Macaca fascicularis: one gene and its partners. The main gene of each other region encodes a partner of the protein of the gene in region 2 in a complex. Links are inferred from orthologs where the notes say so. Each region holds a gene or a part of one and is shown on either strand. Other genes may lie near its edges.

Region 1 (7,727 bases), on a different chromosome or scaffold from region 2:
AGCAATTATCCTGCCTCAGCCTCCCAAGTAGCTGGGATTACAGGCACCTGCTACCATGCCTAGCTAATTTTTGTATTTCTGTAAAGACAGGGTTTCACCATGTTGGCCAGGCTGATCTCGAACTCCTGACCTCAGGCGATCCACCCACCTCGGCCTCCCAAAGTGCTGCGATGAGCTGCCGCACGAGCCAGAACAATTTCTTAATAGTTTAATGAAATAGAAGTCAGAAGAATTCGAAAGAGAGGAAAATGACAATCAATTAAGATTTCAGCACTCCAAAGAAAATAAATTTTAAAAAACCTGTAAGTATACTTTAAGAAAATAAATTTCAAACAAGTTTAGGTTACCAGTCAAAAAGGCTGAGACCAAGTAGTCATCAAGATTAGCCCTTGGGCTAGAAGTATTTAACTTTGAAGATCTGAGATGACTTATATCCTATTGTATCAGAAGAACTTGTGAAAGATGTTGTTCTTGTCAAGAAATGGGAAAAATTAAGAATGTAGTATAGATTGGAAATATTTATAAAAAGAAAAAAAGTCCTGATCTAAGCTCTTTTGGTAGGATAGGGCTGAGGAAGTATAACAGAAATACATTAGTAAATACTTATAGGCCTACTGGCATTCTTTTGGAAAGAAGAGCTAGCATATCAATTTCAACTAATTTTATGACAGCAACATTCCTCTTTTCTTTTAAGTCAAGCAAAAATCGTAACTTGGTAAGTAGAAATATATCAATTCAGGCATAGCTTATTTTATTGTGCTTCACCTTACTATGCATCACAGATACCAAATTTTTACAAATTGAAGGTTTGTGGCAACCCTACCTTGAGCAAGTCTATCAGTGACTTTTTTCAAATATCATGTGCTCACTTTCTGTCTCTGCATCACATTTTGGTAACTACTGCAGTATTTCAAACTTTTTCATTACACACTGTGATCAATGATCTTTGATGTTACTATTATAATTGTCTTGGGGTACCGTAAACTGTACCCCTGTAAGACAGCAAACGTAATTGATAAACGTTGTTTGTGTTCTGATTGTCCCACCAGGCTGCTGCTGGAATTACAGGCGTGAGCCACTGCGCCTGGTCAACATAACCTTTATATGCACTGGGAAACCAAAAAATTCATGACTTGCTTTATTGTAATATTCACTTTATTGCAGTAGTCTGGAAGCAAACCTGCAACATCTTTGAAGTATGCTTGTATATATAGAGACCATTTAATGAATGAATCAATATTTGAAAAGTTAGTACTGACAGGGTATCTTTTAACACTGTCAAATTTGGGTGATTGAGAAAACCTATCAAATAATGTCATCTAAGCAATGAATTGAGGCAGAGGGTCAGCTAACATTTGTAGTATTTACTTGGAAATGTTTAATAAATATTGTTAAACTGAAAAAGGGAGGCAAAGACCCTGCACACAGAAAACAAATTATATGGCTAAGAACTTCCTAGACCAACCATACAATTTTAAAATAAAGACTATATAAATCAAGTATGAAGGAGGTAATATGAAGTGCAATTAGATAAGTGACTTCCATAGAACTGTGGAGAAAAGATTTACAGTTATGGCCCAGAAGGGCACAGCCACACAGATCTAACCCTAAGAATTGTTATGTGTTCCCAGAATTCTTAAACATACTTTTCTTGCACTATTACTATCATATATTACTGTAGTTTTAAAATTAACTACCCAATATCCCCTTCTGGTTGGGTCCAGGACCCCTGAGGAAAGAGGGACTTACCAATTTCTGGGCCAACTAACAAATCCCTTGCTATCATGTGGTGCTAAACTTGCCCTTTAGTCATTAAAAGCCTCACTAATAACTCCTATTCCTAATGTTACAAGACATGAGTGAAAAAAGTTTCAAAAGTTAGTTCCATACATTTGAAAATAATCTTTCTGGGAGAGAATAAACAGTGGAGAGATCTGTCTTTTAAAATATAGACGTACTCTCGGCCGGGCACGGTGACTCACGCCTATAATCCCAGCACTTTGGGAGGCTGAGGTGGGTGGATTGCTTGAGGTTAGGAGTTCGAGACCAGCCGGACCAACATGGTAAAACCCCATCTCTACTAAAAAAAAAACAAAAACAAAAATTAGCCAGGCATGTTGGCACATGCCTATAATCCCATCTACTCAGGAGGCTGAGGCAAGAGAATCACTTGAACCCAGGAGGCAGAGGTTGCAGTGAACTGAGAAAAGGAGAGGCTAAAAAAAAAAAATACATAAAAATAAAGAAAATGAGACGCTGGCTGGGCACGGTGGCTCACGCCTATAATCCCAGCACTTTGGGAGGCTAAGGTGGGCGGATCACGAGGTCAGGCGATCGAGATCATCCTGGCTAACACAGTGAAACCCCGTCTCTACTAAAAATACAAAAAATTAGCCAGGCGTGGTGGCGGGCACCTGTAGTCCCAGCTACTCGGGAGGCTGAGGCAGGAGAATGGCATGAACCTGGGAGGCGGAGCTTGCAGTGAGCCGAGATGGTGCCACTGCACTCCTGGGCGACAGAGCAAGACTCCGTCTCAAAAAAAAAAAAAAGAAAGAAAAAAAAATATATATATATGTACTCTCACAGTGACGTGTCTATGACTGTGTCTAGCAAAGCTTAAGATGAAAGAATAGCAGTTAACATTGTTTATTAAGATTTATCAAATGTAACCCTTCAAAATATTTTATCAAATACTTATCAAATGTAATCCTTCAAAAATATTTTAAAAGATATACTAACAATCCGTTCCTGTAGTACAGTTTTACTTTCTGCTGCTAATGATTGTTCTTTTAGTATCATATTAAAAATCTGAGAAACACGAGTAGACACATTTTCTGGAATAGATGTGAGAGATCCAAGTGCTACTGTAGTAATGGTATCTAACGCAGAGACACTGGAAGACAGCAGATTACCTAGAACAAACAGAAAAAAACAGAAAGATGTAAACTTTGACATAAATATATTTGATATACACATATATATATATTAAATACAGTTCAAACCATTTCAGAGAAGTTGGCAAAAGTATACCCTTGTAGAATTTGTAATAATGAGCTTAAAAGAACTGGCTCACTACATAAGCAAGGAAATATTTAAATATACATTACATATTTTCTATAGTGCTCTGTAAGCCCTTAACATATTTGTAAGTGTATCAGACCCATAATTCATAGTGCACAAAGAATTAGAATATTCTATAATTAATCTCTAACTAAAAATAATATACAGAATTATGGTAAGTTTACAGAAGAAAAGAAAAACTGGAAATCAATACCAAAATGTATTGATTGTGCTTGGCTTAATGAGACTAGAGTCTAGATGATTTTTTAAATTTTTATATTTCTAGATGTCCAAATTTTCCATAATGAAGATAGTATTTCACACTAAATAAACATACTTTTTTCTAAAGGGAGATAATAGAATAGTTAAAAACAATGAGACACAAACATATTCTGACAATATAGCAAATCATCAAGATATACATGCCCCCCCCAATAAAAAGTTGCAGAATGTTTATGCACAGAAAATTTCTAGAAAAAGGCCCAAGAAATTTAACAATAACACCTATGGTGAATGACCCAGGGACAGGAGCCAGAGTCAGGGAAAAAGAGGACTTCTAACGTTTATATACTTAGTTACTTAATAAATGTAACAATTTATAGAAAACAGAAGGGAGGGTGGGGAGGGAAAAAGATTTGTTTTAATTCAGAGACAGTAAAGCATTAATCAGCAGCCTGAACAAATAGTTTGTGCATTGTAGAGAGTATTGGTGACACTGTCATCTATGTTTCACAAAATTAAATTATCAGTTTTGAAATCAACATCACACTTAACACATCAAGACTAGAACAGAACAGCCTGAACTTACCAAATAAGGTCTTATGTACTTCTAGCATGGCCTTTTGTTTTGAGCTGCCATCCTTAATTAATTCCTCCATATTATTAAATAGACTATTCAGGTTTTTGCCAAAAATATCCTGAGCTTCTGCATTGTGTTGGTCAACTGCCTTCTTACGATCCAGTTTGGAATGGAGATCAGATACATCTTTTGTAGTTTCTTCAACTGTGTTAAGCAGCTGTATTTTAAAAAATAAGTGTTAGACAAAATGGATATGACGAAAGGAATCTAATGAAAGTATCTACATAAGGATTTATCTTGATAAGAACTAGTAAATTTTCCAGCCTGACCAACATGGTGAAATCTCGTCTCTACTAAAAATACAAAAATTAGCCAGGCGTGGTGGTACACACTTGCAGTTCCAGCTACTCAGGAGGCTGAGGCAGAAGAATTGCTTGAACCTGAGAGGTGGAGGTTGCAGTGAGCCAAGATTGTGCCACTGTCACTCCAGGCCGGGCGACAGACAGAGAGACTCTGTCTCAAAAAAAAAAAAAAAACTAGTAAATTTTAGACATTGTATCAGAAGAAATGCTTTAACTTATGCTAATTTATCCAGATGCCCAGTAATTTTTATTTCCCTTCCTGTAGCCATCTACGCAAGCAAGGAAAACTGATTTTGTCAGTTATTGCAATAATCATGCCTCCTCAGAAATTTTTTCCCTTCTATGTTCTACTATTTCCTCAAAAGTACACCTAATGGCCGGGGGTGGTGGCTCACACCTGTAATCCCAACATTTTGGGAGGCCTAGGCAGGCAGATCACCTGAGGTCAGGAGTTTGAGACCAACCTGGCCAACATGGTGAAACCCCGTCTCTAATAAAATTCAAAATTAGCTGGGTGTGGTGGCAGGCACTTGTAATCCCAGCTACTTGGGAGGCTGAGGCAGGAGAATCGCTTGAACCCGGGAGGCAAAGGTTACAGTGAGCTGAGATGATGTCACTGCACTCCAGCCTAGGCGACAAAGCAAGAGTCTGTCTCAAAAAAAAAGTACAACTAATAAAAAATTAAATACCTTCAACATCTTTCATCATTAGAACATACTAAATTCTTTTTTTTTTCTTTTTGAGACAGAGTCTTGCTCTGTTACCCAGGCTGGAGTGCAGTGGCATGATCTCGGCTCATTGCAACCTCTGCCTCCTGGGTTCAAGCAATTCTCTTGCCTCAGCCTCCTGAGTAGATGGGATTATAGGCATGTGCCACCATGCCTGGCTAATTTTTGTATTTTTTTTAGTAGAGATGGGGTTTTACCATGTTGGTCAGGCTGGTCTCGAACTCCTAACCTCAAGCAATCCACCCACCTCAGCCTCCCAAAGTGCTGGGATTATAGGCGTGAGATATTGTGCCCGGCCAGAACATACTCAATTCTTAATGACTAATTAGGTTCAATCATCCCCACAAAGAAAAAGCATCACAACATCACATTCTAAATGTCTACAAAACATATTATAAAGTTATGTTCTATTTTCTTTTTTTTTTTTTTTTTTGAGACAGAGTTTTGTTCTTGTTGCCCAGGCTGGAGTGCAATGGCGCGATCACGCCCAGCTAATTTTGTATTTTTAGTAGAGACGGGTTTCTCCATGTTGGTCAGGCTGGTCTCGAACACCTGACCTCAGGTCATCCGCCCGCCTCGGCCTCCCAAAGTCCTGGGATTACAGGCGTAAGCCACCACGCCTGGCTAAGTTATGTTCTATTTTCCAAACTCCAGGAGCAGGAGTAGTTTTTTCATAAGTCAACATCTCCACTAAGAAAGATATGGATGAAATAGTAAAATAATGTTTTTTAAATGGACAGAAATACCATTTTGGGTGAATAAACAGAATATCATAATTAATGCTTAAGCACAGACATTATTTCTACCCATTCTCTATTTAATATGAGTATAAATCAATACAAGGGACAAACCTTGCTGGCAGCATCATGAAGTTTCTCCTCAGTACTTTCCAAAGCTGATGTGATATATTCTTCTTTAACAAGTTGTAATTTAGTTTCTTGCAAATGTTTCTGAGTGGTTTCAAGTTCTTGTGTTTTATTTTGCAGGTCAGATTTACACTGGTCAAGTTCATTTTTATTATCCATAAACAACTCTGTAACCTAAATATAATGTAGAAATTAAAAAATGCTGATCTGGTTGGTAGGATATCTGGCTAGTTCATAAGATTAGAAAAATGAAACAAATTATTTCCATGCAAAAGCTGTAACAAGTTACCCAGTAGATTAACACAAACATGTCATCCGGTTTCTTTCTGCAATCTTACTCAACTCTTTGAGATTAAATAATAGGTTTGGGGTAGTACTATTAATTCTTCAGGTTCCTTCAACATTGCCATTGAATTTGAATAAAACAGTGTTAATGTGGCCCGGCAAGGTGATTCACGCCTGTAATTCCAGCACTTTGGGAGGCCAAGGCAGGAGGATCACTTGAGCCCCAGAGTTTGAGACCAGCCTAGGCAACATAGCAAGACTCCATCTCTACAAAAAAATAAAATAATTAGCCAGGTATGGTGGTGCATGCCTGAAGTCCAGCTACTCAGGAGGCTGAGGCAGGAGAGTTGCTTGAGACCAGAAGTTTGAGGCTGCAGTAAGATATGATTACGCCACTGCACTGTAGCCTGGGCATCAGAGCAAGACCCTGTCTCTAAAAAATAATTTAAAATGGCCAGGCATGGTGGCTCATGCCTGTAATCCCAGCACTTTGGAAGGCCGAGGCGGGTGGATCACGAGGTCAGGAGATAGAGACCATCCTGGCTAACACGGTGAAACCCTGTCTCTACTAAAAATACAAAAAATTAGCCGGGCGCGGTGGCGGGTGCCTGTAGTCCCAGCTAGTCGGGAGGCTGTGGCAGGAGAATGGCGTGAACCCGGGAGGCGGAGCTTGCAGTGAGCCAAGATCACGCCACACTCCAGCCTGGGTGACACAGTGAGACTCTGTCTCAAAAATAATAATAATTATTATTATTAATAAATAAAGGTATTAATATGAGAGTGGCCTGAAAGGTCAGGCCTCTTGCCTACCCTAGTTATATTACTTTTCTTTAATATCCAGTCTCTCCCAATATCTGTGTTCCTTCATCTGATAAACATGTTAACAAAAATGCTTCAGCATTCACTATTTTGTAGTTTTAATAACAAAATCAAACAATTCAGTTAATTTTTTGTAATGTTTCATTAATATAAGCTGTCAGCTTTTTTTATGTGATTGATGATAGTAAAAAATCATGATATAACTTACTTTCAGTATAAGGGTCAGCAAAATAAAATCTTTTTTTTTTTTTTTTTTTAAATAAAATCTTAAAGAAGGAGCTGGGTGCGGTAGCTCATGCCTGTAATCCGAGCATTTTGGGAGGCCGAGATGGGTGGATCATGAGGTCAGGAGTTCAAGACCAGCCTGGCCAGCATGGTGAAACCCTGTCTCTACTAAAAATACAAAAAAATTAGCCGGGCATGGTGGCACACGCCTGTAATCTCAGCTACTTGGGAGGCTGAGGCAGGAGAATCGCTTGACCCCAGGCAGCAGAGGTTACAGTGAGCTGAGATCACACCACTGCACTCCAGCCTGGGTGACAGAGCGAGACTCCATCTAAAAAATATATATATACATATATTGAAGGAAAAAATATTAGGTCTTTCACCTTCTAAAATTTTCTTTCAATATTTGCTTTTCACATAACAGTAAATATCATTTTAAATGCTTACCCTATTCAGCTCCTCCTCAACAGCACCAATTTTTTCAATCAATTCTACAATCTGCTCTTCTTGAACAGTTAATTTTCCACTCATGACTCTAAAATAAAGTTTAATATGAGTTTAACAGTTAATATTTTTTCTAACT
Region 2 (7,727 bases):
GACCTTAGAGGTAAGAATCAATGGGTGCCTGGGAGAAGCGCCCAGGGCCATCGAGGGGTCTGCACCTGTAACACCTTGGGGAGAGAGAGACCCAGAAGCTGTCCATGTGTGGTGTAGTTGGGGTGATGCAGAGCAAGACCTACATGCAACCAAGACTCCAGGCTTAGGAAAGGGATTCAGGGTTGAGGCCTCAGGATAGCATGTCCTTTAGAGGCAGATACACGGGGAGGGCTTGGATGAGAGGGGCTTGGGGGGGGCATGCTTAATGTTCAAAAGAATAACCGTTAGGATGCATAGGAGGATGGAATGAATAATATAAGTGGGGGGGGGCAGAGAGAGAAAGAGAGAGAGGGAGAAAGGGAGAGAGAGAGAGAAAGAGAGAGAGAGAGAGATGGAGGTGTGGGGAGGAGAGACTGAGAGATGGAGAGAGAAGCCCAGGCAGAGTGAGGCCCCACTGTGCCTGCCTTGGGGAGCCTGGGCAGAGGTCCTGTAGAGACAACTCCCCCCACCACCACCCTGCTAACCTCAGGCCAGCTCCAAGCAGCCTGCAAGAGGGAGGGAGGGAACAGGCGAGGCCAGGAAGTCCTGGCTGTTCCTTGGGATGTGTCCTTGGATAAGAGCCATCCCCTGCTTCCCCCTTGGGACACACACGTGGGACCACCACGTCAGAGCTACTTTCTGGTCAGAGGCTGTTACCAAAAAATGTAGGGGAAAGTGAGGGGCAGAGGAAGAAGAAAGGAGAGGGAAGGGAGTGTATGGGAGGGGGTTACCATCTCAGATACTCAAGAGTCCCAGAGAGGAGATGCCTGGGAGCCTGGCCCTGGCCGTGACCCCGGGGAGCACCCAGCTCAGCTCAGAGCTGCACCCCTGCCCCGACAGCCCCATTGAAGAGGCTTTTGGCTGGAGCTGTGAGGAGAGTGTGGGGAAGGGGAGAGAAGAGAGGGCACCCCCCACACTGCCCATTCCCAGCTGTGGCAGGAAGGTGGTGGAGGGAGTCGGGGAGAAGGCAGAGGTAGGAGGGAGATTCCGAGGCTGAGGCTGGCCACTGGAAGGGGAGGGCACTGGGAACAAAAGCTCACCTGAAGATTTGTTCCGCATCAGCCGAACCTCCCGTGCTTGCACGCCGTGGGACTGCAGCTGGCCACGGATCTATATGGGGAGATACAGAGTGGGGCAGGCTCAGCACAATGGGGCCGCTGGGTACCTGAGGCTGGCTGGAGGCCTCTGGATCCCAAGGGGTCATCCGTGATGTGCACACAGTCTCCTCTGCCTCTTTCGCAGCTTTTCCCTGAGTGACAACAGTCCCAGGCCCACACCAGTTCACAGTCTTGACTTTCAGCCCCAGACTTGCAGAAAGTGAATCAAATGAAGAAATGGGCACAGAGCAAGGTAAAGCATGGCAGCAGGACGACCCTCAGGGACACAGAGAACAAGAAAGCAAGTGAGCCAGCCATTTAAGAACGGTGGGCAGGGTGATCTGACAAAGGGCTCCGTGGCAGCCATGAAGTAAGGAAACCTGGGAAGTAATTCTTGCCCTTGGCAAGGGGATAACCCATGCCCCCGCCCCTGCCCCGCTGACCTGCAGCTTGCGTCAAAAGAGATCCATGACATAAATGCCAAACTGGGGAGGACAGGAGTCTGAGCAAATCCTAGCCATGTACCCTAGACCATGACTGCAGCAATAACTTAGGGTGGAGACAAAAAGCAAAAAGATATAGTCCTGGGGATTGCTTCCTGGATGGAGTAGGCCAGAGCGAGACTGCAGAGGCAATTCAGGATTTGGAACAGGTGAGGCAGGGTCTCTAGGCCAGTGAGGTCTCTCACAGAGGACCAGGAGCCTATGCCAACCATTCTTGGGAAGGAGTCTTCATGTCTCTGGGCCTCAGTTTCCCCACCAGGTTAAACAAGACAGGAGATTAGACTTACACACACCCATACACAGGATGAAAAGGAAAAACACACAGAAGAGCTTATCAGGACTCCAAACTCAGGGAAGGCTGAGGAAGCAGCAAAAAGTGCGCTCTGGGGTCCAGCTGCCTGGGTTCAGACTCCAGCTCCACTCCACCATTCACTGGCTGTAAGACCTCAGGCAAGTCACATTCCCACTCAGTACCTTCCCTGTTGGGATGCCATGGGGACTGAATCACACCTAACACATGGCCCATCCTGAGATACATTCTCAACAAATGTCAGCAACCAGCTACTGTCTGACCCTGGACAGGGCAGGTGGGCCAGACCTTAGAAACCCTCAAATACACAAGTGGGATTTTCTCTGCTACAAAATGAGCAGCTAGCAGATTTCAGAGGAGGGCTAGGGGGTGAGGGAATTTCAGAGAATTCATGGGGGTGGGGGGTGAGGGGCGGCAGAGTGGACTAAGAAGGACCAGGATCAGGGAGACTATTCTTGGAAGTTATTCTGGTAGGCCTCATGGGGCTTCAGTGTGGCTGTCATGAGAAGTATGTATGAAAAGGAAACGCGAGGAAAGGGAGGCAGGCGGGGAGGCTGTTAACAGCCACCCAAGGCTCTGAGGCCAGGCCAGGCTGCTGACAAAAGAGGATGGGGAAAAAGGAGAAGGAAATTTCAGAAAATCCCACCCCTCCCCCAATGGTTGCAGGGCCCCAGTGTCATCTCTGCTACCAGCAATAGCCAGCACTGGCCCGGTGAGTATCTGGCCCTTGATGCACACATGCAAAATGGCTGGACGACCAGTGGAATGTGCAGGACTGCTCTTCTCCCGCCCAAACCCACCACTGCCGGATACCCACAGCCGCTGCCCCTTGGCCAAGCCGGCCTCTCTGACACTCCTCCCTCCAGACCGGGGGGCCAATGGGACCTGCCCACAGAGGACGGATCAGTGCTGGGGGATAGTAGCTGGAGGGGGAGAAGGGATGAAAGGCACTGAGGTTGCGGGTGAGGGAGGGGTGGGGAAAAGTTGAGGGCCCTGGAGGAGACCCAGCCTGGCCTCCTGCCCGGGGCCATGGGGGGCACGTACGTCATCCTCAGTGGCTGCCTGTGGCAGCATCCTCAGCATGACGATGTTACTGGCCTTCTCCTCCTCCTCCTCATCCTCCTCCTCCTCATCCTCCTCCCCTTGCTCGGTCCGATAGTCCTGGTCCCGATAGTCGCCGTCTCGGGGGAAGCCCGGCGGGCCGGTGGGGCTGTGCCTGTGCCGCCGCCGCCGCCTACGCTGAGTCTCGGAGCCCGGGGAGGCCTCGTAGGAATCCTGGCCGACAGAATGAGATGAGTGACACCAGACGGGCAGTCAGTCTGGGCAGGCCTAGGAGCTGGCCGCTGGCTCTGTGAGGCGGGCAGGCTCTGAAAGCCAGGGATGTGCGGGCTCCGGCTAAAGGCTCAGGCAGGCAGGGTGGGCAGGCCCTGGCCTGCAATCCTTCTGGGGCTGGAAATTCTCCATGGGGTCCTTTTGGGGACTGCCTTCAGGGGGTGGGGAGAGGTAGGTGGCAGTATTGGTGTTGGGGGGGATCTCTCAAAGGTAGCTGACAAAACACAGCTTAAACCTCCTTGAGGCAAGACGGCCTGGGGTCAGCACACCAGACCCCACCCTTGATTTCCCCCTCCTCTCTGGCCAGCTCAGGGGGTGTGCTCAATTGCTCACTGTACCACCGAAGGCTGTGTGTCTCCTATGGTTCCACCCTGCAACTAAGCTAGGGGCATAAGAACAGCTTCAGATCTCAGCCAGAGCCAGCCAGCAAGAGCTGGTAGAGGTGGTGTGAGGGCTGCAGACACTTCCTCCTCAGTCCCTGATCCTCAGCCTTGGCCAGTCCTCCACCACACACCACGCTCAAAATGGTATGGCTGTTGGGCTCTGGGTTGTTGCCCATTCATCTATTCCAGGACTAAGCAGACCAGGCCTCGGGCCAAAGCCCTCCTACCCACAGTGGGGAAGCGCCAGATAACTTGGTGCTCCATTCTTACCCTGGCCAGGGCCCAGTGCTCCTGGAGACGTCTGGGTACAGCTTGACAGCTGCCACTGGAGAAGCCAGGCAGTCCACCAAAGGAGTTTTCGCCCTGGACCCTCCAGAGGGCAGTGGGCAGCTCACAGCCTGCCCCCTAGGGCTGGGCTTGCAAGAACACCCTTCCCAGCCTGCTGGACAGGAGAGCTGCCTGCTCGTGTGGACCAGGGCCCTGACTGCCCCTCCAACTGGGATTCCCCTAAGGCAAGCCTGTTTGTTCCCCTCCGGTAGGGGCTCCTGATGGTGTAAACATCATGCCTCATCCCTTAGGCTAGGGTGAACTACCCAACATGGCACTGGCTTTTCTAGAAGTATCCTTCCCTTCTGTCTAGGGGCTCTGTCACCACTGGGAATGTCCATGGCTGGCCTCCCAGAGCTCCTCAGCTTGGTAGTCTGCATTCCCCTGGTTGTCCTCCCAACCCCAGACGCCGGGTCCCACGGAAGAGGCTCTTCAAGTGCTCAAGTTGGCTGGGAGTGGGCAGTATAGGGTTCACAGTGAGCCATGGGCCCGAACTGAACAACAGGGAGAAGGAAAGAGTGGTGGCCAGGGGCCCTCAGAAGTACAGAGCCAAGCATGTGGAAGCCAGGGAGACCCAGGTTGGGAGAGGAGCCCTCAGAGAGGGGAGTGGGAACAGGCCCTCCAGGTGAGGCAAAGCCACCGAGCACAGTCTGAAGGCATGGGAGTGGAGAGCCGCCTGCACACGGTGCTGCAGCCAGACACAGAGGGCTCTCGGGAGCCCATCCCAGTCAGGCCTGGCGCAGCTCGCCCCTCCTCACCTCCGCACTCTGCTCCTCAGATGAGTCGTCATAGTCGTGCTTGCCCTCCTGGCTGCCGTACTCGCGGGGATATGAACGGTAGTCCATGTCCCGGTAGTCGTGGTCTCGGCTGCGGTTCTCCCCACCATCATCCTGCGAGCGGTCAGTGGCTCCATAGCGCCCAGTCCTGTCACCACGACCACCACTAGTGGAGGAAGAAGGATGGGGAGGGATCAGAAGGTTGCCCTTTCTAAAAGGTGCAAGAGGCCCAGGTGATGTGTTCTCATGGTTATAGGGTTTCGTTGTTTTGGAGGAGCATACAACAGAAGTGAGGTGCCCTTCTGATCCTATCAGATAAGGAAGTACATGCTACCACCATGACTTAGCTCTGGTGATGTTAACCTTGGTCATCTGGTTAAGGCAGTGTCTGCCAGGTTTCTCCCCTGTAAACTTTCATTTTCCCTCCCTCTACTCTATTCTTTGGAAGCCCTCAGGCCTGCCCCTGAACAGGGATTCCTAAATATCTACTCCACATCTCTGAAGTGCAACCCGCCTCTCTCTGGTCCTATGTCACTCTCCGGTCCATGCCGCTGGCTTCTCTCATGAGCACCTTGGTTGTGGCCTGGCTGGTCTCCTCACTTCTACCTGGACCTCCCCAGTTCAGTCTCTACATCCCAAATCCCAAATATGAGTGCTCTCTAAGGCAAAGCCACTCAAACCCATCTCAGTCCCTTCAGTGGTTCCCCCTCAGTCTCAGGATCAAACACCAAAATGCTCACCAAGGTCCCATGCAGTTTGCAGGATCCCCAAGGGTGAGGGCCCTCCTCCCTGTCTTGCACCACGTCCCCTACCTCTGCTTCACTGTCACCTTGCCGACACTAGCAGCTCTTTCATTAAAATTTCTCCTACCGCAATAACTGTAAAATAATTATCTCAAAGCTGATTTCATCTGCATTTTTCTTTTCTCTTTTTTTGAGAATGGATCTGGCACTGGTGCCCAGGCTGGAGGGCAGTGGCATGATCAGGGCTCACTGCAGCCTCAACTTCCCAGACTCAAGCCATCCTCCCAACTCAGCCTCCTGAGTAGCTGGGACCACAGGCACGTGCCACCACACCCAGCTCATTTTTGTATTTTTTGTAGAGATGGGGTTTTACCACATTGCCAGGTTGGTCTCAAATTCCTGGGCTTAAGTGATCCACCCACCTCAGCCTTCAAAGTGCTGGGATTACAGGCCTCCACCACTGTGCATGGCCTAATCTGTGTTTCTTTGATGAGTTAAAAAATTACTAGAATATGGGCTCCAGGAAATGAGGGGACCTTGGCTCACTGCCATATTCCCTAGCACTCAGTAGGCGCTCAACAATTATTTTGAACAAATAATGACTAAAAAAGCATTCTAAAAGCAACCAATATATGTTTACTTAAAATAGAAAAAACTAGATGACATAGAAGAATGCTACTATACTAACAGGATTCCAATTCTGGTTGGGAACAACATGAGAATGTCCGTTATCAACAGCATTCTTAACATTATTCTAAAGACACTAGCTAAAACAATTAAACAGGGAAGGAAGAAAAAAGGTTAAAAGCTGGAAAGAAGAAGGTAAAATTACCATTATTTGTAAATGATAAGAGAATATACCTGCAAAGCCTAAGAGAATCAACTGAAAAAACTGTTATAAATAATAAATCAGTAAGGATGCTGGGTACAAATTAATGTAACCACTGTTTAGAAAATAGAAAGGTCCCAAGTACAATTCATCAAAAAGGTTAAATACCTAGACATGTGCAAGATATTATGACTATATTTCACATATATACCAGGATATATTTCAAACAGATCAAAGATTTAAATATAAGAAATGAAACCACAGGCCAGGCGTGGGCGGCACTCTGGGAGGCTGAGGTGGGCAGATCACTTGTGGTCAGGAATTCGAGATCAGCCTGGCCAACATGGTGAAACCCCATCTCTACTAAAAATACAAAAATTAGCCGGGTGTGGTGACACGCGCCTGTAATCCCAGCTACTTGGGAGGCTGAGGCAGGAGAATCCCTTGAACCCGGGAGGCAGAGGCGGCAGTGAGCCAAGATCAAGCCACTGAACTCCAGTCTGGATGACAGAGTAAGACTCTGTCTTTAAAACAAACAAACAAACAAACAAAGAAACAAACAAAAAAAACAAAGAAAGAAATGAAATCATAAAAGTAAAAGAAGAAAATATAGAATAATTGAATAATTTCTTTATAATCTTGAAATGGGGAAACCTATAATCCAAATCCAGAAGCCACAGAAGAAAAGATTACTAAATTCAACTACATAAAAATAAAATACTTTTGCTTGGACAGAAAAACAGAAAAACAAAAAACATCATTAACCAAGTCAAAAGACAATAAACTAAGAAAAACTATGGGGAAAGGAAGTGAACAGAATTCACAGATAAAAATATAAACTATGTGTATCTGAAAACATGCTCTATCTCACTTACAATGAAAGATGAAAATTTTGCTAGGTGAGATGGCTCATCCTGTAATCCCAGCACTTTGCAGGGCCAAAGTGGGAGGATGGATCGCTTGAGGCCAAGACCAGCCTGGACAACATAGCAAGATCCCGTCTTTACAAAACCACCATCAATCACCACCACAACGTATTAGTTGGGCATGGTAGTGCACATCTATAATCCCAGCTACTCAGGAGGCTGAGGCGAGAGGACTGCTTGAGCCTAGGACTTCTAGGTTACAGTGAGCTATGAGTGTACCACTGCACTCCAGCCTGAATGACAGAGTGAGACTCCATCTCAAGAGAAAGATGATAATTAAAACTACATTGGATAGACTGTTTTAAAATAAACTTTATTTTACTTATGACAAGGTCTCGGTCTGCTGCCCAGGCTGAGTGCAGTAGTGCAACTATAGCTTACTGTAGCCTCTACCTCCTGGGCTTAAGCAATCCTCCCATCTCAGCCCCAACTAGCTGGGACTACAGGAATGCACCACCACAT
Region 3 (7,727 bases), on a different chromosome or scaffold from region 2:
AAGGTACTTTTAAAGTCAATAAAAGTTTCCTTTTATAGAGAATATTTTTATCCACTAAAATATAAGAAAACTAATCACTAAATATATTTCCTCCCTGTCACAAGTAAAGAAAACATTAAACCATTAGAGATATTATAAAGATATGACCTGAGTTAAAAGTACTGTAGCACAAGGTATCCCATGGCTTCTAGAAAACCTTAATTCTTGCACCAGAGGATTTCTAAGGGCAAAGCAAAAGACCCAGGATTAAGATCTAATATGCAGCGTTAAGCGTGGACAAGTCATTTACAAGACAGCTGTGTCCAATGGTAGCTCACGGGAGCATCATGGATAGTTCCCTCTAATGCTTTCAAGTGGTTCTTTCCCATCTGGGCTAGTTTCTTCACATGCATGTGCTGATCTGTATTTTGCCAAATACTCCAGGGATACCCTTCTACAAATCTCCAGAGTTCACTCTCCATTCTGTTTTCTGTTCTCTTGGGGCGCTGTCTCACAAACTCAGCTGTCTTGGTCTCCTTATCTCCATCACCTTAACTGAGTCTGCCTGACTCTGGGTGGGTTTCTCCTTCTTGTGCCATATCTGAAAACCCTCTTAAACAGTAAGCTAGGGTAATTTCGGGCTCTTTTCATTTGTTTCCCATATCTTAGCAACTGCATTCCTTTGCTGCTCAACGTTGTGTTTAAATACCATTATTTTATATACTTTGTCCAGTGTTTTGGTAGTTTCAGACAAGTTCTTGTTACTTCATTTGGCCAGAGTAGAATTCCATGAATTAAATTTTAAGTTTCATGTAATTCTAATCAACATACATTTAAAGTCACATGTACTGCTATTGTATTGGACACCACCAGAATTGAGGTTCATTATCAAAACCTAGCAGTCTGTGAGATTATAAAATGATTAAAGAGAGAACAATTGCGATTCTTTTTATAAAACTGTACTGAGCTTAAGAGTATTATGTATTACGTGCTATGCTCAAAATGGACATTCCAGACTAAAGTTAATGCCAATATTATTAACTCAATAAAAACCCACATAGTGTTGACCACCTCCTAGATGCAAAGCAATTTATTAGGTGCTACTGGAGAAAAAGACAAATAAGACATAGTCCCTGCTCTTCGGGCATACAATTTGTTTAGGACTTGCTAAATAGATAAATTGCATTAAAAGACAAAGTGACCATGAAGGGAGGAATAAAGTGTTGCAGATACATAAAAAATAGAGCAACTAATACTAAATAACATAGGGGCAGTGCTGGTAAGTCTTTATAAAATATAAGGCATCCAAGTGAGATCATTAAGAATGAAGAGAAATTAATTATTAAACATTCATTCATTTAGTATCTACTTTATGCCAGGCCTTGTGCTAGAAACTGGATAGAAAAATGGGTACAATACAGTATTTATTCTCAAAGATCTCATGATCTAATGGGAAAGAGTACAATGTGGGGTAACTGTAGTGGCAGCGTCCAGGGGACCTGACCTAGAGCAGTGGTAGTAATGACAGAATATCCTAGAGTTATTTAGCCTATTGTTTCCTCTGATTATTTGCTTTCTAGCCACACTCCCTTCCTTTTCCTAGTCTGCTATACTAATTCCCTATCCACCCAGAAATGACTGGACTACAAGTGGACATAAACCTCGGAGGAATCAAGTCAAATGATGGTCTATGCCAATCAAATTCTTTCCTGAGATACAATGGGAGCAACGAAATATACAAATTGAGTTAGTCATTGTTAACCCCTAAACTGGGAAGTGACAGGGAGTTGGTGGTCATTTTTTTTTTCATTTGCATACCATCACAGAGAAAGCCAGTCTGCATTTATAAAAAAATTTTCATGAGAACAGAGACTGTTTTGTTTACTGCAGTATCTCCAGTGCCTAGCATACACACTGCCTGGCCATAACTTTTCCCCATATTTCAATCCTTTTGCCCAGTGGCCATGGTAACAAAAGTGGGGACTTGAATATAGCAGGAGATTAAGAAAGGGAAGAGGGTGGCTGCACTAGGGTGGCACCCAAATAATGATTCCCTAGTTGAGGGCACAAACTCTTGCATTAAATACTTTTGCACAGTTGCAAATCTTTTGATTTGTATGAGTCAAATAAATGAGAGCAGAAATAGGATAAAGTTATTTTTGTTGAAAACTTACGGTAAGAGCCATCTGCGCTAATTTCCTCACTTATAACCAGGCAGGTAATCTGAGAATATGGTAAGGGATTATTTCGATTATAGGGACTAACAATCATTCCAATGAACTTTGCACCTCCTCTGGAGAAGTAGCTCTACAATTACAAGAAAAATATAATTAGTTTCAACTGCATAAACTCAAAAGCCAATATTTATCCATACTAACATTTTAAACATCTAATGAGGAAAAGCAGGAACAAAAAGGTGCATTAAAAAGTTCACATCTGGCCCAGAGCGGTGGCTCACGCCTGTAATCCCAGAACTTTGGGAGACTGAGGCAGGTGGATTGCCTGAGGTCAGGTCAGCCTGATCAGGCTTGAGACCAGCCTGGCCAACATGGTGAAACCTCATCTCTCCTAAAAATACAAAAATTAGCTGGGTGTGGTGGCACATTCCTGTAACCCCAGGTACTCAGAAGGCTGAGGCAGGAGAATCCCTTAAACCTGGGAGGTGGAGGTTGCAGTGAGTCGAGATCGCACCACCTGCACTCCAGTCTGGGTGACAGAGTAAGAAGACTCTGTCTCTAAAAAAAAAACAACAAAAAAAGTTCACATCCCAACTGAAACTAAATCAAATGCCTTAAATATTCATTTCACATTGTACATTTTTCAGGCAAAAATGTGTTCAACCAAATCCAAAATGACCCTTAAAAATAAAAAAATGGCCTACACAATCTGTATTTGCCATGAATATATTCACTAATTATATTCACCACCCTGCATCTGTAATTCTTATCAACACAGTAATAATTTACAAATACCCTACAGCAAACCCAGTCACATATCAAATGTAAAATCCCAGATTAAAATAAAACTTTTTCTCCAGCTATTAAAAAATACATTATGTCTCTTATTATTTCAGTTATATTTAGTACCTGTCCTAGTTGTTCCCATCAATTTTTAAAGGCTCTGGGAGTATTTATCACTGTAACATTCATGGCTTGTCTGTACTTAATAAAATAACTGACTTTCTAAATGTTTACATAAACAATTATCAATCTCTCAATCAGAAAAAAAAAAATGTATGTTCTTTTAAAACCCCCAGTATACATAATTTTTTCTTTTTTTGGTTGGGTGTGGTGGCTTATGCCTATAATCTCGGCACTTTGGGAGGCCGAGGCGGGCAGATCACCCGAGGTCAGGAGTTTGAGACGAGCGTGGCTAACATGGTGAAACCCCATTTGTACTAAAAATACAAAAAATTAGCTGGGTGTGGTGGCACATGCCTGTAATCCCAGCTACTTGGGAGGCTGAGACACAAGAATTGCTTGAACCTGGGAGGCAGAGGTTGCAGTGAGCCGAGATTGCACCATTGCACTTCAGCTTGGGCAACAAGAGTGAAACTCTGTCTCAAAAAAAACACAAAAAAACAAAAAGAAAAATAAATAGATAAAACCCCCATTATAAAGAAAATTAGAAATGAAATACAAAAAATGTTTAAAGTTTATCTATTTAAAAGGGAGCACTGAGGGGGTGTGCAACCATTTACAGAATATAAATATACAGGTAATACCTGGTATTTAGCTTGTGTGTCAATATCTCGTAAGGAAGGATTAGGATCAAAAGCAGGATGAGAATGATACCATCCAATAACACTGTAGCCTCTAACAGCCAAGGTTTCTGAGGCCTGTGTTTGTGATACAGGATCCATCTCACACTGTAGTCCTGTACTCAGACTGTTACATGGTTCTGCTGCACAGACCTATAAACGATTGATCCTCAAATGATTATACTAAAATCCTGTTAATTCTATTACTCTAATTCTTTCAGAGATACAGAAACTTTTCAAGGCCAAGACTTTTATTTGACAATATCATAGGCGCCTTTAACTTGCAAATGACTTATACTCCAAAAGTCTGATTATATGCTAGGAACTTAGCATGCATTTTTCTACTCAAACAAGGTCATAATAATGGTTAGTTTTCCAGGTCAGCCCACATAATACCCGTACAAAGGTATTCTTTCAATGACTCCTGTTACTTATGACAACAATTTCAACAGAATGATGCATACAAACTTTCAACTACAAGTGTTAGTACATATTTCTGGCCTCTTAAAAGTTGTAGTTTTTTGCTAATAAAGGTAATGAGGACCCAAGGCCTGGCAATGTTCTCTCTTGGTGGTAAAAAGGAAAAGGTGCTCGGCATATGGAATGTTAAGTTACTCCTGGGAATAGATAACTTGCTACATTTGCATATTCTCATATATATCATAGGTAAAGTATATATTTTAATTATATTCACTGAATTCTATAAAAATATTTGGTATGGTAGTAGGACTAAATAACTAAAACATTTTTTAAAAGAGAGAACTTACTTCAACTACTTTATCAACTTCTGAGTATCTTCCTCCTAACAGACCAATCACTTCTGCCATAGAAACATGAGCATGCTAAAAAAAATACAAGACAGACTTAGCCCAAACGCACAAACCCACCTGACAAAAAAAATAACAAAACTCACTTATTGTAAGAAAGTCATTTGTAAGTACAGTCATCATGCTTTTATAAAATAAAGTAGCATAGGAGAGGAACTAGATGCTAGGATCAGTGCACAGAAACTATTTCAGGTCTATCTTCACTGCTGGCTGAGAAGCTTTCAACCAAACACTTAAAAATTCTCAGACTCTACTTTTGCAATTGCAAAATGAAGATACACTCTTCCTATTCAAGGAAGGTACTATGTAAGGATACAAAGTAAAAATCACTCTAAATCCTTCTACACAAAGACATCACAAACACAAAAACTGTTGGAGGTACTGGTAGTTTAGTATAAACAAAAAAACCCTCCAAATTACAGGAGTTGTACTTTGTTTCAGTGATCTAAAAGGTGGCAGACACAGATATTAGAAAATTAAAGTAGGGTTAATGATGGTAAACAGTCTGCAAAAACTCACATTAATTTATTTTCTCTAAAATATGGAAACATGCAATTGTTTGGCTTTTCTCCAAAAGAAAAGACTTATTTTTAGATTCCTTGTAAAAGAGGATAGTTAAGATCCAAAATACACGTCTTCCATACTCTGTCTTACGCCTGCAATAAAAATACACAAGAGTAGAAATCAGAATAACTAAGTAAACACAATAGATTATCCTTACCAAATCCATTATTAAAAGTGCTTCTGAAGCCACTTTCACCTGAAATGGCTCCTGAAATATAAAAAACAAAACAAAACGGGGGACCATAAAAACAGAGATTTTGTTCTCCCCACCTGGAATGCCCACCCTGTTCTCCTTCATCCACCCCACCAAGTTCTCAGCACTAACCAAAGCTCAGCACAAACTAGATTTTTAAAAAACATTATGATTTAAAACCCCAGCAGGGAGAAATTGTCTCTCAGATTCAGTCATGCCTTGCACATATGGAAAAAGAGTAAGTATTTCCTGTTTGACAGGGGGAAGCGGGGATTGTCTAGGGTCATTCATTAATGCATAAATAGTACCTGCTTTTCTTCACTAAAAAAATTACAAGGTATCAGTTGGAAGGGATCAAATGAGCTGAAAAAGAAAAAAAATTATTTTCAATATCAACAAGATTAGGAAAATAACATTTGCAAATTTGAAAGTGTATATCAATAATCTGAACCCAAATTCTGTCTAAATGAGAAAAATATTAAACTAGGAGAGTTTTGTAGGAGATTCCATAAACCCTTTTGAAAGAAGCACTGTTCTTTTAGATTTAACAAGAACAAAAAAAAAACCCAAGAACTTTGAGATAAAGTTACTCCATTGTCTTAATTTCCTATTACACTCAAAGAGGACACTATAAACTATCAGACATATGTCCCACACTAAAAGGAGATTTCAAAAAGTTCAATGAAAATATAATTATCTGTTATGAGACCCCCAAAAAAGTTCAAGAAAGATGGAAGTTTATCAAAAACACTTGTCAGTTCAATAATGTGCCAACAATAGAGTAGGAACTTAAAACTTTTTTTGAATGAATGAATGACAAACGGTTCTGGTAAAGATATTAATGTATTAGTCCTATGATAAACTCTTGTATTAAAGTGAAAAAGTGGCCAGGTGCTGTGGCTGACATCTGTAATCCCAATATTTCGGGAGGCCGAGGTGGGTGGACTCCTTGAGCCTAGGAGTTCACAACCAGCCTGGACAACATGGTGAAACCCCATCTCTACAAAAAAATTTAAAAATTAGCTGAGCATGGTGGCGTGTGCCTATAGTCCCAGCCACTCGGGAGGCTGAGGTGAGAGGATCACTTAAGCCCAGGAGGTGGAGGCTGCAGTGAGCCATGATTTCACCATTCCACTCTACTCCACTCTAGCCTTGGTGACAGGGTGAGACCCTGTCTCCAAAAAACAAGAAGTGAAAAAGTAAAAAGAGGTGAAAAAGGGAGAACCTAAGCGAAGTCAAAAGCACACATAAATCTGAGAAATATCAGAAAGTCTTTGACGAGTAAAGAATTGAGGCTTGAAAACTATATTAAGAACAATAAAAAGGTTTTTTAGGCTATCTTCAGGGAAAGAAAAACACACAGGAATACATTCGCATTAACACAACTGGAAGAGAGCAGGGCAATTCCGTTCTCATTCAACCACAGATGGTTAGCTTCAAGAGAACATTTTGTTTTGCTTAATAATGTATCCCAAGTGATCAGAACCGTGCCTGACATATACTGTAGACATTCAAAGATACTTGTTGGATAAAGAAAGACCTTTAAATTAGAAAGTGTTTAATCAACAAAAAAGAAACTGAAGGCCAAGATAGATGAGAAAATAGCACAGAAAGAACATCCTGGAGTACTTAAGAACCACGGATATGGAACCGCTGTCAATGTTTGTTGAGGAACTGCAGAGAATGGGAAAGTTATTGAAGGACTAGAAATGGACAATTATTGAGCTTGTTTCACAATACAAAAAAGCAGACTGCAGAAAAGGACGAATTAGATGTTGAATAGTAGTAAAATTCTAGAAAAAATTATGAAACAGCTGATTTGTGATCCTTAACCAAGTGAAGAGGTGACTAAGCAAAATAATGAGTTCATGAAAAGTCATGATCAGTAGACCTTATTATAGACACTATTCATAGGAATGATCTGTTAGAAACTAAAGACTTAAAATATATTTTATCTGAAATTAAACAAGACATCTGTTATGATTATCCTTCTGCATAAGATAAAGATATATGGGTTAATTGTGGTAATCTATATAGCTGATTGAAGAATGAATGTCTTCATTGTTTAAATATATGCAATGAGGTTTACATTTCCAATTAAACATTTCTATCAGTGATTAATGGCAGGCAAGGCAAGCTTATTGAAATGTTAATGATGCAGTGCTACAAAGGCTAAAACAAGAAAAGTGGATCTGGACTCAAAAAGATCCTGAAGACCTTGGACAGCGACTTGAAAATCACAATAAATGTAAGTCTCACATATAGAGGCAGAAAATCAATTATCTGGATACTGGATGAGGAGTCCCAGCTTATGGATGACTATTTTTCACATAGCTTATCTAATTTAGTCTCACGACAACTGTGTAAGTTTAAATTTTTATTTTAAAGAGGTAATATATAATGT
Region 4 (8,358 bases), on a different chromosome or scaffold from region 2:
TAGCATCATTCCTTTACAGACAGGAAAATAAAGGCTTAAATGAAATCCTTATCCAAGGTTGCAGAGCTGGATATCCCAAAATTTGAACTCAGATTAGTCTGAACTTGGAAGCCCATGTTAACCACTACACCCTATTGTCTCCCCTTATGTATTAATATAAATGGCCTGTTCCTTTAGGAAGGGTTAGTCAATGGGTTTTGTTTCTCTTTTGAAGTTAGTAGATGATACACTTTAATTCAAGAAGACTGGGATTTGGCCTACTCATACATTCACTTGAAGTTTCTTTTATAACATTAAAAACCCAATCCCAAGGAGGCATGGTGGTGCAGGCCTGTAGACCCAGCTACCCAAGAGGCTGAGGTGGGAGGATCAACTGAGTCAAGGGGTTCAAGGCCGCAGTGAGCTATGATCATGCCAGTGCACCCCAGCCTGGGCAACAGAGCAAGACCCTGTCTCTAAAATAAATAAATAAATACGCCAGGTGTGGTGGCTCACACCTGTAATTCCAGCACTTTGGGAGGTCGAGGCAGGCAGACTGCTTGAGCCCAGGAGTTTGAAACCAGCCTGGCAAACATGGAGAACCCCATCTCTACCAAAAAGTACAAAAATTAGCTGAGTGTGGTGGTGCATGCCTGTGGTCTCAGCTACTCAGGAGGCTAAGGCGGAAGGATCACTTGAGCCTGGGAGGTGTAGGTTGCAGTGAACCAAGATCACACCACTGTACTCCTGCCTGGGTGACGGAGCAAGATCCTGTCTCAAAAAATAAATAAATAAATAAATAAGCCAATCCTATCAATATCTGTGGGATACCTAGAACTGTCCTGTATGACAAATCTCTACTCAGTTGTCAAGAAGTGATTCAGTTATAATTCCACAACTGCTATCATCACAGCTAATCATTTCTTGCACTTTCTCTTCTCTGGTTCATTCGCTTAGTCGATAACCGCATCACTAAGAATCTAAGATTCGAAATGCATATCAAATAATCGTACAAATCATAAAAATCATAAGAAAAGCACCAGAAAGAGTACAGATGAATTTGGATAATTTCTAATGGGAAGGCTGCTCAGGAGGGTAAAGGAAAGGCAAGGAATCTGAGTTCTGTAGGAAGAGTTGGGAGCTAATTTTCAAGTGTGGAAAGAAGAGCTTCCAGTCCCAGGGAACAGCATGTGCAAAGCCCCTCACCCCACCTCACCCCTTACTAGGTGAAAGGAAACCATGTGCCTGAAGCCTTGAAAAGGAGCCACAGACAGCAGTAGCCGGGCCATGCAGGGCCTTCTGGACCACAATAAAGAGAAATTATAGGGCCTGAAATTGGGGTATAACATGGTCAGATCTACTTTTTTTTTTTTTTTTTTTTTTTTTTTGAGACAGAATCTCGCTCAGTCACCCAGGCTGGAGTACAGTGGCGCAATCACAGCTCACTGCAACCTCTGCCACCACTCCTGGCTAATTTTTTATTTTTTGTAGAGACGAAGTCTCACTATATTACCCAGGCTGGCCTCAAACTCCTGGACTCAAGTGATCCTCCCGCCTCAGCCTCCTAAAGTGCTGGGATTACAGGTATGAGCCACTGCGCCTGGCCTAGATCTACATTTTTAATGATCACTCTGGCTGTGCCACACATAAGCAAAATGACTCTGAAGCAACCTTTACCAGGACACAGTTCAAAGATCTGGATCCTGCAAAACAAGTTTGTTTGTTTCTTTTCTTTTTCTTTCTTTCTTTTGTTTTGTTTTTTTTTTTTTTTTTTTTTTTCCTTTTTCTTTTCTCTGGGGTGTGGCACATCACCCTGGCTGAGTTAGCTCCCTTCTTTTTTGGTTTTGTTTGTGAAGTTTAAAGGCCAGATTTATATCAGGCCTGGGACCTGTTTTTCTTTCAAAAGCCCCCCAGCAAACTACCTTATCTCTTTCTAGATCCCTCCTCATTCTCTAATCTCTCTAATCTAACTTGCCAAGGGGCCTGTGGCAAAGGTAGAGCAATCTGTCCTTTCGGGCTTGCTCATAGTAAGTGCAGAAACAAGCCAAGAGAGAACCACAGATTCTGCTCTCTTACCCTCCCTATTATCCAATCGAGCCCAGTTAATTTTTTTTTTTTTTAAAGCAAATCTGAGATAGTGTCACTCCCCAGGTTAAGATTCCTGCACTCCTCAGTGCCCTCTTGGCCACGTACCCCTCACCCCCAACCAGGTGGCCCTAGGCAACAAAGGTCTGGCTGGAGTTGGCCCACCTCCAAGCTTCCAGAACTGCTTTCAGTTTCTCCACTACAAGAAGCTTCACCCCACCCCACTCTGCCCTGCCAGGAGTTCTTAGCAGCCACTGACACTTCCTCCAGGAAGGCAATCCCACCCTACCAGTGCCCCAGTCTATGAATTGTCCTGCTCTGGGTCCGCAAGTACTCCAAGAAAGTAGTTTTTCTGAACTTCTCTGTAATTCTGGTTCACTGCCCTCCTCCCTAGGCCCCAACACATGCATGCACACACATGCACTTGTGCACACACACAGTAAGTAACTCCTGAAGGACAAATTCTGTGTGTCATAGGCCCAGCACCTAGCACAATGCCTGACACCCAGTTGGTAACCCTCCAAATATTTACTGAATGAATGGACACATAAAAATGAACACTTTCAGCCGGGCATGGTGTCTCATGCCTATAATCCCAGCACTTTGGGAAGCCAAGGCGGGCAAAGTGCTTGGGCTCAGGAGTTCGAGAACAGCCTGGGCAACAAGGTGAAACCCTGTCTCTACAAAGAATACAAAAAATAATAATAATAGTGTACTGGTGCATGCCTGTAGCCCCAGCTAGTCAGGAGGCTGATGTAGGAGGATCACCTGAGCCCAGGGAGATTGAGTCTGCAGTGAGCTACAATCATGCCACTGCACTCCAGCCTGCAGGCAGTGTGAGATCCTGTTTCAAAAAAAAAAAAAAAAAAAAAGGCCTTAAAATAAATTTTCTATTTCTCTTGTTTGGTCATGAAAGTGACCAGAAAACACTCAAATCTCAAACTTTGGAAGTGGTGCTACATCTCACCCATGGAAATTTGAAAAGATCAAAAACATCAATGCAGGCCACATATGCTCATGGTTTTAGACAAAACCAAAACTTCAGGAAAGTTTTCAGATATTAAAGCTACAGCAGGCAGCAGGAAGTCTTTAAGAGGTGCTGGTAATGATAACCCAATAAACAAATGTTAAAATAAAGCCAGGACAGAAACACTGAGTTGACACAGTTCCTGCATGAGCCCACTTTGGCTGCAAAACGCCAAGGCCACCAAGTAATTGACCTTGCTTTTTTTTTTTCATAGGTTTTGGGGGAACAGGTGGTGTTTGATTACATAAATTCTTGAGTGGTGATCTGTGAGATTTTGGTGTATCCATCACCCAAGCAGTATGCCCTGAACTCACGACCTTGTTCTTAATTCTGTACCTAGCTCTCCCTTCTGCCTACTACAGTCAGTGGCCTGTTCTCATTCATCTAATGCCCTTCATGATCAACTCCTGGGCTTGCACCTTTCAAAAAGCACACTCCCCACTTCATCTTTTTTGCATTCCTTCTTCAGAAATAACCACACGGCATTATTATTTGTTTCTGTCTTTTCTGCTAAATTCAACGGGGACAAATAATATACTGTCCAGGTCTGAATTGGAATGTGGTCTGTGGACTAGCGTAGTGCCACTTGGGAGTTCGTCAGAAATGCAAACTCTTAGCTTCCACCTCAGACCACCTGATTCAGAATCAGCATTTTAACCAGCTTCCCCAGGAGATTCCCATGCACATGAAAGTTTGAGGAGCACTGGGCTAGATCCCACATTCACTCAACAAATATTTATCGAACCAGTATAGGATACAGAGGTGCTCAACATAAACATGAGGATACGGTGTGGAAAAAGAGCAAGCACAGACATTCCATTGTGACTAAGAAGCTCCTGTAAGTACTAAGAAGAGTATAACCCAGATGTTCCAGTAGAATAAATAATAGTTATATCAAAATTCAGAAGTGGCCACTGCAGCTTGGTTGTGGGAATTGGGAATCCGGAATCTGGGAACTTGACCCTCTTTGCAGCAGGCAGGAAGAATACAGGGAGGTGTGTGAGTGTGTGTGAGTGTGTCTCTTCCCTGCCTCTGCCACAGGCCGCAGGAGCTGACAAGGCCAAGTCCCCGCCCCCCTCAGCTGTCACCCTGTCAAAACAAAGCCGCTGCTGACAGCGCAGGGCCAGCCTGCCCCGCGGCCTCGGGCAATCCTCCCACCTCGGGAGCACGGCCCCCACATCTGGATCTGCAGCTGGGGATGACAGGGTGCCTAAACTGGCACGGAGAGTGGGTAGCAAGAAATGGGTGTCCTCAAACCAAGCAGTAGCGTCCGCGGCGCTGGGCTGTCACCTTGCCAAATCCTGTTTACACCTCGAGCAGCTGGGACAGCGTTTTAACTAAACAAGTAATAATACAATAATGACAGGGCTGTCACTGCGCGCGGCAGCGCCTCCGCCCCCAGCCGAGGGCGTCAGGCGCCACAAGACCCTCGCCTCGGGCTCTGCCCACCTTCGCACCCCGCGCTTTCCTCCCCTTCGCTTTCCCAAAGCGCCAGGAGTCCGGGAGTCTTCTCCACCCCGACTCCTTGCACCCAGTTCCTCCCAGTGGGACACGGGAAGGGATGGACTGCAGAAGGGACCACTCAGTCCCCCAAAAGATGTTTCCCTGCCCCTGGGTCGCCCACCACATGGAGAGCACCGCTCCACTCCCGCGAAAGTGACTCCAGCGAGCTCCTACAGAGCAACAAAACCCCAGAGTAGCCCGGGAGCTCGGATTCCGAAGCTACTCCTTTCAAGCGGAAGGAATGAAGGGCTCTCCGTCTTAGTGATCCCCTTCTTCAAACCCAGCAGGACTCTTATCCAAGAAGAAGCTAATTGGGCTCGGGCGACAAGAGCACTTCCGCGGTGCAGCGGCCCCAGGCGGGAGGCGGGAGGCGAGAGGCAGAAGGCAGAAGGCGGGAGGCGGAGGTGGAAGCGGGAGGGGGAGGGGGGTCCCGCGGGCTGGGCCCCTAGCACCCATCCGCGGTCCGAGAACGGCGAGCGCGTACCTTGCAGGCGGAGTACACTCCGAGTTTCTCCAGTTTCTTGGCCCGCGGAGCGGAGCGTAGTTGCGCCTTCTTCACGGCGATTCGGGCCGAGCCACCGCCTCCCGGTCCTTCGGCCGTGCCCGCTGCAGCCACTGCCGTTGCCGGACCGCAGGCGCCCGAGCCCCCGGCAGCAGCGGCGCAGGGGGAGCCCTGCGGGGGCGCGGGCGGCAGCACCACGGGCTGCGGGGGCAGCGCCCCGGGCCCGGCCCCTGCCCCGGCTCCTGCCCCGCAGCCGCCCGGCCCGGCCCCGCCAGCCTCGGACATGCCGCCCCGGAGCACGGCAGGAGGCGCCGAGTGTCAGGCGCCGCCGCCGCCGCCAGGGTCTCCCTCTCGGGCTCTGGTCGTCGGGAGAGCGAGACCCTCCCCCCACGCCCTCCCGCCCCCTTCGCCCACCCCCCTCCCCGCCCCCGCCCTCCCCCTCGCGCGCCGCTCGCCGGGCTAGCTCCGGCCGGGCCCCGCGAGCTGATGGTGGCGGCGGCGGCGGCGGCGGCAGCTGCTCCCCCAGGAGGGAGGGGACTAGCGGCTCCGCTGCCGCTGCCGCTGCCGCTGCCACCGCCGCCACAGCACACGCCCTTCCTTGGTTATCCTGCCCGGGACTCTGCTCCGCGCCCTGGCTGCGGACATGTTCCTCGGGGCTGCGGACTGGGTGTGCGTGCGGGCGGGTGCCAGCCTCGCAGTGTGTGCCGGGGCCGGGAGGCCCCCCACGGCTTCTTTTCCGCTGCCCGCGGGGTTTGCACCCCCCACCCCAGTGCCTCGACACCTACTGCTCGCCCGCCAGGGGGCGAGGCCAATCCCTGGGTGTGGGTGAGGGTGGGGACGAGGGTGGGGGTAGGGGACTGGAGCCCAGGCACCTGCTGGCCACCTCCCCCCTCCGCGGCCCCCCATCCGACCCCCGCACGCCCGCACCAGTGGGAGGGGGCCGCCTCTCAGTCATTTGTCCTTCCACTCTCTTCCACCCTGTCTCTGAGCAGAGACAACTTCCTCCACCCTAGCGGGAGCCAGAGGAAAAAAAAAATATTTTTGAAAAGTACCCGTCCATGCTAATCCTTTTCTTTGTTGCTAATTCACCAAAATAAAAGCGTGATGTTTTCCCTTTCTCTTTTTAAATACTTTCTGTCAAACTATGTTTTAATATAATTAACACTTTCTTCCTATAGCAATTTGTGGGTCAAATCTGCCAGAGGAGGGGGAAAAAACTTACTATTCCCTGTACTTTTTGTTTGAAAGTGCTGGTTGCTAAAAGAACGATTGTCTAAAAGCATTGTCAAAATAAAAACTATGTGCAGTGGAAAAAGTTTGAATACAAAAAGTTTGTTAACAGGACTCGTTTCTGGGTGGTGGTTCTATCACGTTACGTAGTTTTCAAAATTGTACCACCAGCGTGCATATTAACCAGGAAAAAGATATAAGCATCATTCAAAAGAATAAATACCGATTTTGGCCTCAAACTTAAAAAAAAAAAAAAAAAAAAAAAAAAACCCTCAACTCAGTTTTCAACTCTTGTTGAAAACTGTTGTTTTCTCTGTTGATGACTGTGGAGCATACATGTCAGTGCTGCGTTTGAAAGTGGCGTACGGTTGATCGCCTTCTTAAAGCAGGTTTTAAAAGTCCAGGGCTGTTTCTCAGGACCCTTCAGAAGTGCCCTACTTTTTGTTATATGCAATGTGGGTCATAATGTGCTTATTATCAGATTTTATGCATGCTATATAGCTCTCAGGCCAGACGCCTTAAGGGGTGTGCTTTTCGTTGGAAACATTCCCCTTCTCCTTTTTCCAGATTCTCTGTGTTATTTTGACTTGTAATGCAGTGTAATACATAAACATGGGAAGGTGGGGGACTTTGTAGATCTAAACAGTGATATTAGTTTAGACAGGGCAAAAGGCAATATTCTCTCCCAACTTGAGTCCAGTCTTGAGGGGATGAAATGGCAGATTCTTATCAGGTTCCGTTCAGGACAATTAACTTCAGTGCTTCCTTTCTTAGCTTGACGTGCTTCACGTTACCAGTGTTACTCTCTCCTGACTCTGCTGAGAAATTTCGCAGATTTTTGCCATTCTCCTCAAAGCAGGGTGAGAGTCTTAAAGGCTGTGCTTCTCTGATCAAACTCTAACATGGATTTAACAAATACTAATAAGAGCTTGGGTTCTACCTTGTAGGCGTTTGTCAAACTGATGGAATGGTCCACTTGAGATTTGTACATTTCACTGGATGTAAATGTTGCCTCAAAATTTTTTTAAAAAAGAAAAGAATTACAAGCATTGAACTCTATTTAATGGTGCTCTTTGTACTTTGAGATGCGTCAAAAATAAGATGTATGGATGCCTCTATGCATGGGTAAAGGGTGGATGAACAGAGATACGATAAAGCAAATAGGGGACCATATAATAGTAGAGTCTAGGTAATGGGCACACTGCGCAATTCTTTCAACTTTTCTGTATGTTTGAAAATTTTCACAGTAACATATTGGGGGAGGGAACCCGGATTTAACATTAAGTCACCTATCACCTCCTCCTCCCAAGCGTCCCTCAGAATTCAGGAGGCAGACAATTTCCAGGATGTTTTGAAGCAGAATTAGCCATTCTCCTTTCAATCCACTCTGAAAACCATCACTGTCTGTGTGGCGAATGGCTTGTGCCATTAACTGAACATTATTTTTCATTATTTCCCTGCTCAGAGTACCCAGATGACATACTGCCTTAGGCTGAAGGCCCGCAGTTTCAAGACCTATTCAAAGTGTGTTATGAGCACCAGGCAAGGAAATTTCAAGGGCAAAGGATTCAGGAGGCTTATTGCTTTTCCATAACTAGGTTGTTGTAAGCATTCAATATGCTCTTTCTGTGCACACAGTACTTTTAAGAAATGACTACCAAGAAAATAAAAGGCAATGTTTTCATTTACAAAGTGTTTACCACTTACTGAGGTAAAGAAGCTACATTCAGGAAATAAAAGCCTGGAGAGTGGGCATAGTAGAGGCAGGCTGACCACTGGAGGTTACTTGTGGTATATTCACACAATAGAATATTTTATAGCTGTTATACAGAATGACCTTTATAAAAATATAATAACATAGATCTCTAAGAAACACTGTTGAATAAATCTCAGTGCAGCAGTTATGTTAAAAACAAACTCACACTGACATATAAGCACAATTTTGTATATGTTCAATAAAGGCATGGGAAATTCAAAAGTAATGAAAAGATTTTAAAAGGTGCATAGCAATAAAATAAAATTTCAACTTCAC

What was found.
Region 1: RBM10 (region 2) and KIF11 share a complex: the UniProt entries of both Homo sapiens proteins name them as parts of the large chromatin remodeling complex. The link is inferred for Macaca fascicularis from reciprocal best matches to the Homo sapiens genes RBM10 and KIF11.
Region 3: RBM10 (region 2) and MYSM1 share a complex: the UniProt entries of both Homo sapiens proteins name them as parts of the large chromatin remodeling complex. The link is inferred for Macaca fascicularis from reciprocal best matches to the Homo sapiens genes RBM10 and MYSM1.
Region 4: RBM10 (region 2) and KAT2B share a complex: the UniProt entries of both Homo sapiens proteins name them as parts of the large chromatin remodeling complex. The link is inferred for Macaca fascicularis from reciprocal best matches to the Homo sapiens genes RBM10 and KAT2B.

The regions. Positions count from the first base shown.
Region 1 is NC_088383.1:101,408,815-101,416,541, reverse strand, and holds part of KIF11 (kinesin-like protein KIF11), read right to left. Parts: intron 7,680-7,727; coding exon 7,592-7,679; intron 5,990-7,591; coding exon 5,801-5,989; intron 4,077-5,800; coding exon 3,869-4,076; intron 2,913-3,868; coding exon 2,740-2,912; intron 1-2,739. UniProt on the Homo sapiens protein: Motor protein required for establishing a bipolar spindle and thus contributing to chromosome congression during mitosis. Required in non-mitotic cells for transport of secretory proteins from the Golgi complex to the cell surface.
Region 2 is NC_088395.1:47,273,189-47,280,915, reverse strand, and holds part of RBM10 (RNA-binding protein 10), read right to left. Parts: intron 5,541-7,727; exon of another isoform or gene 5,500-5,540; intron 4,934-5,499; coding exon 4,750-4,933; intron 3,225-4,749; coding exon 2,994-3,224; intron 1,150-2,993; coding exon 1,080-1,149; intron 1-1,079. UniProt on the Homo sapiens protein: Binds to ssRNA containing the consensus sequence 5'-AGGUAA-3'. May be involved in post-transcriptional processing, most probably in mRNA splicing. Binds to RNA homopolymers, with a preference for poly(G) and poly(U) and little for poly(A).
Region 3 is NC_088375.1:176,028,220-176,035,946, reverse strand, and holds part of MYSM1 (deubiquitinase MYSM1), read right to left. Parts: intron 5,687-7,727; coding exon 5,632-5,686; intron 5,339-5,631; coding exon 5,288-5,338; intron 5,223-5,287; exon of another isoform or gene 5,086-5,222; intron 4,582-5,085; coding exon 4,507-4,581; intron 3,893-4,506; coding exon 3,704-3,892; intron 2,287-3,703; coding exon 2,154-2,286; intron 221-2,153; exon of another isoform or gene 148-220; intron 1-147. UniProt on the Homo sapiens protein: Metalloprotease with deubiquitinase activity that plays important regulator roles in hematopoietic stem cell function, blood cell production and immune response.
Region 4 is NC_088376.1:28,386,381-28,394,738, forward strand, and holds the start of KAT2B (histone acetyltransferase KAT2B), read right to left. Parts: upstream 5,457-8,358; 5' UTR 5,382-5,456; coding exon 5,079-5,381; intron 1-5,078. UniProt on the Homo sapiens protein: Functions as a histone acetyltransferase (HAT) to promote transcriptional activation. Has significant histone acetyltransferase activity with core histones (H3 and H4), and also with nucleosome core particles.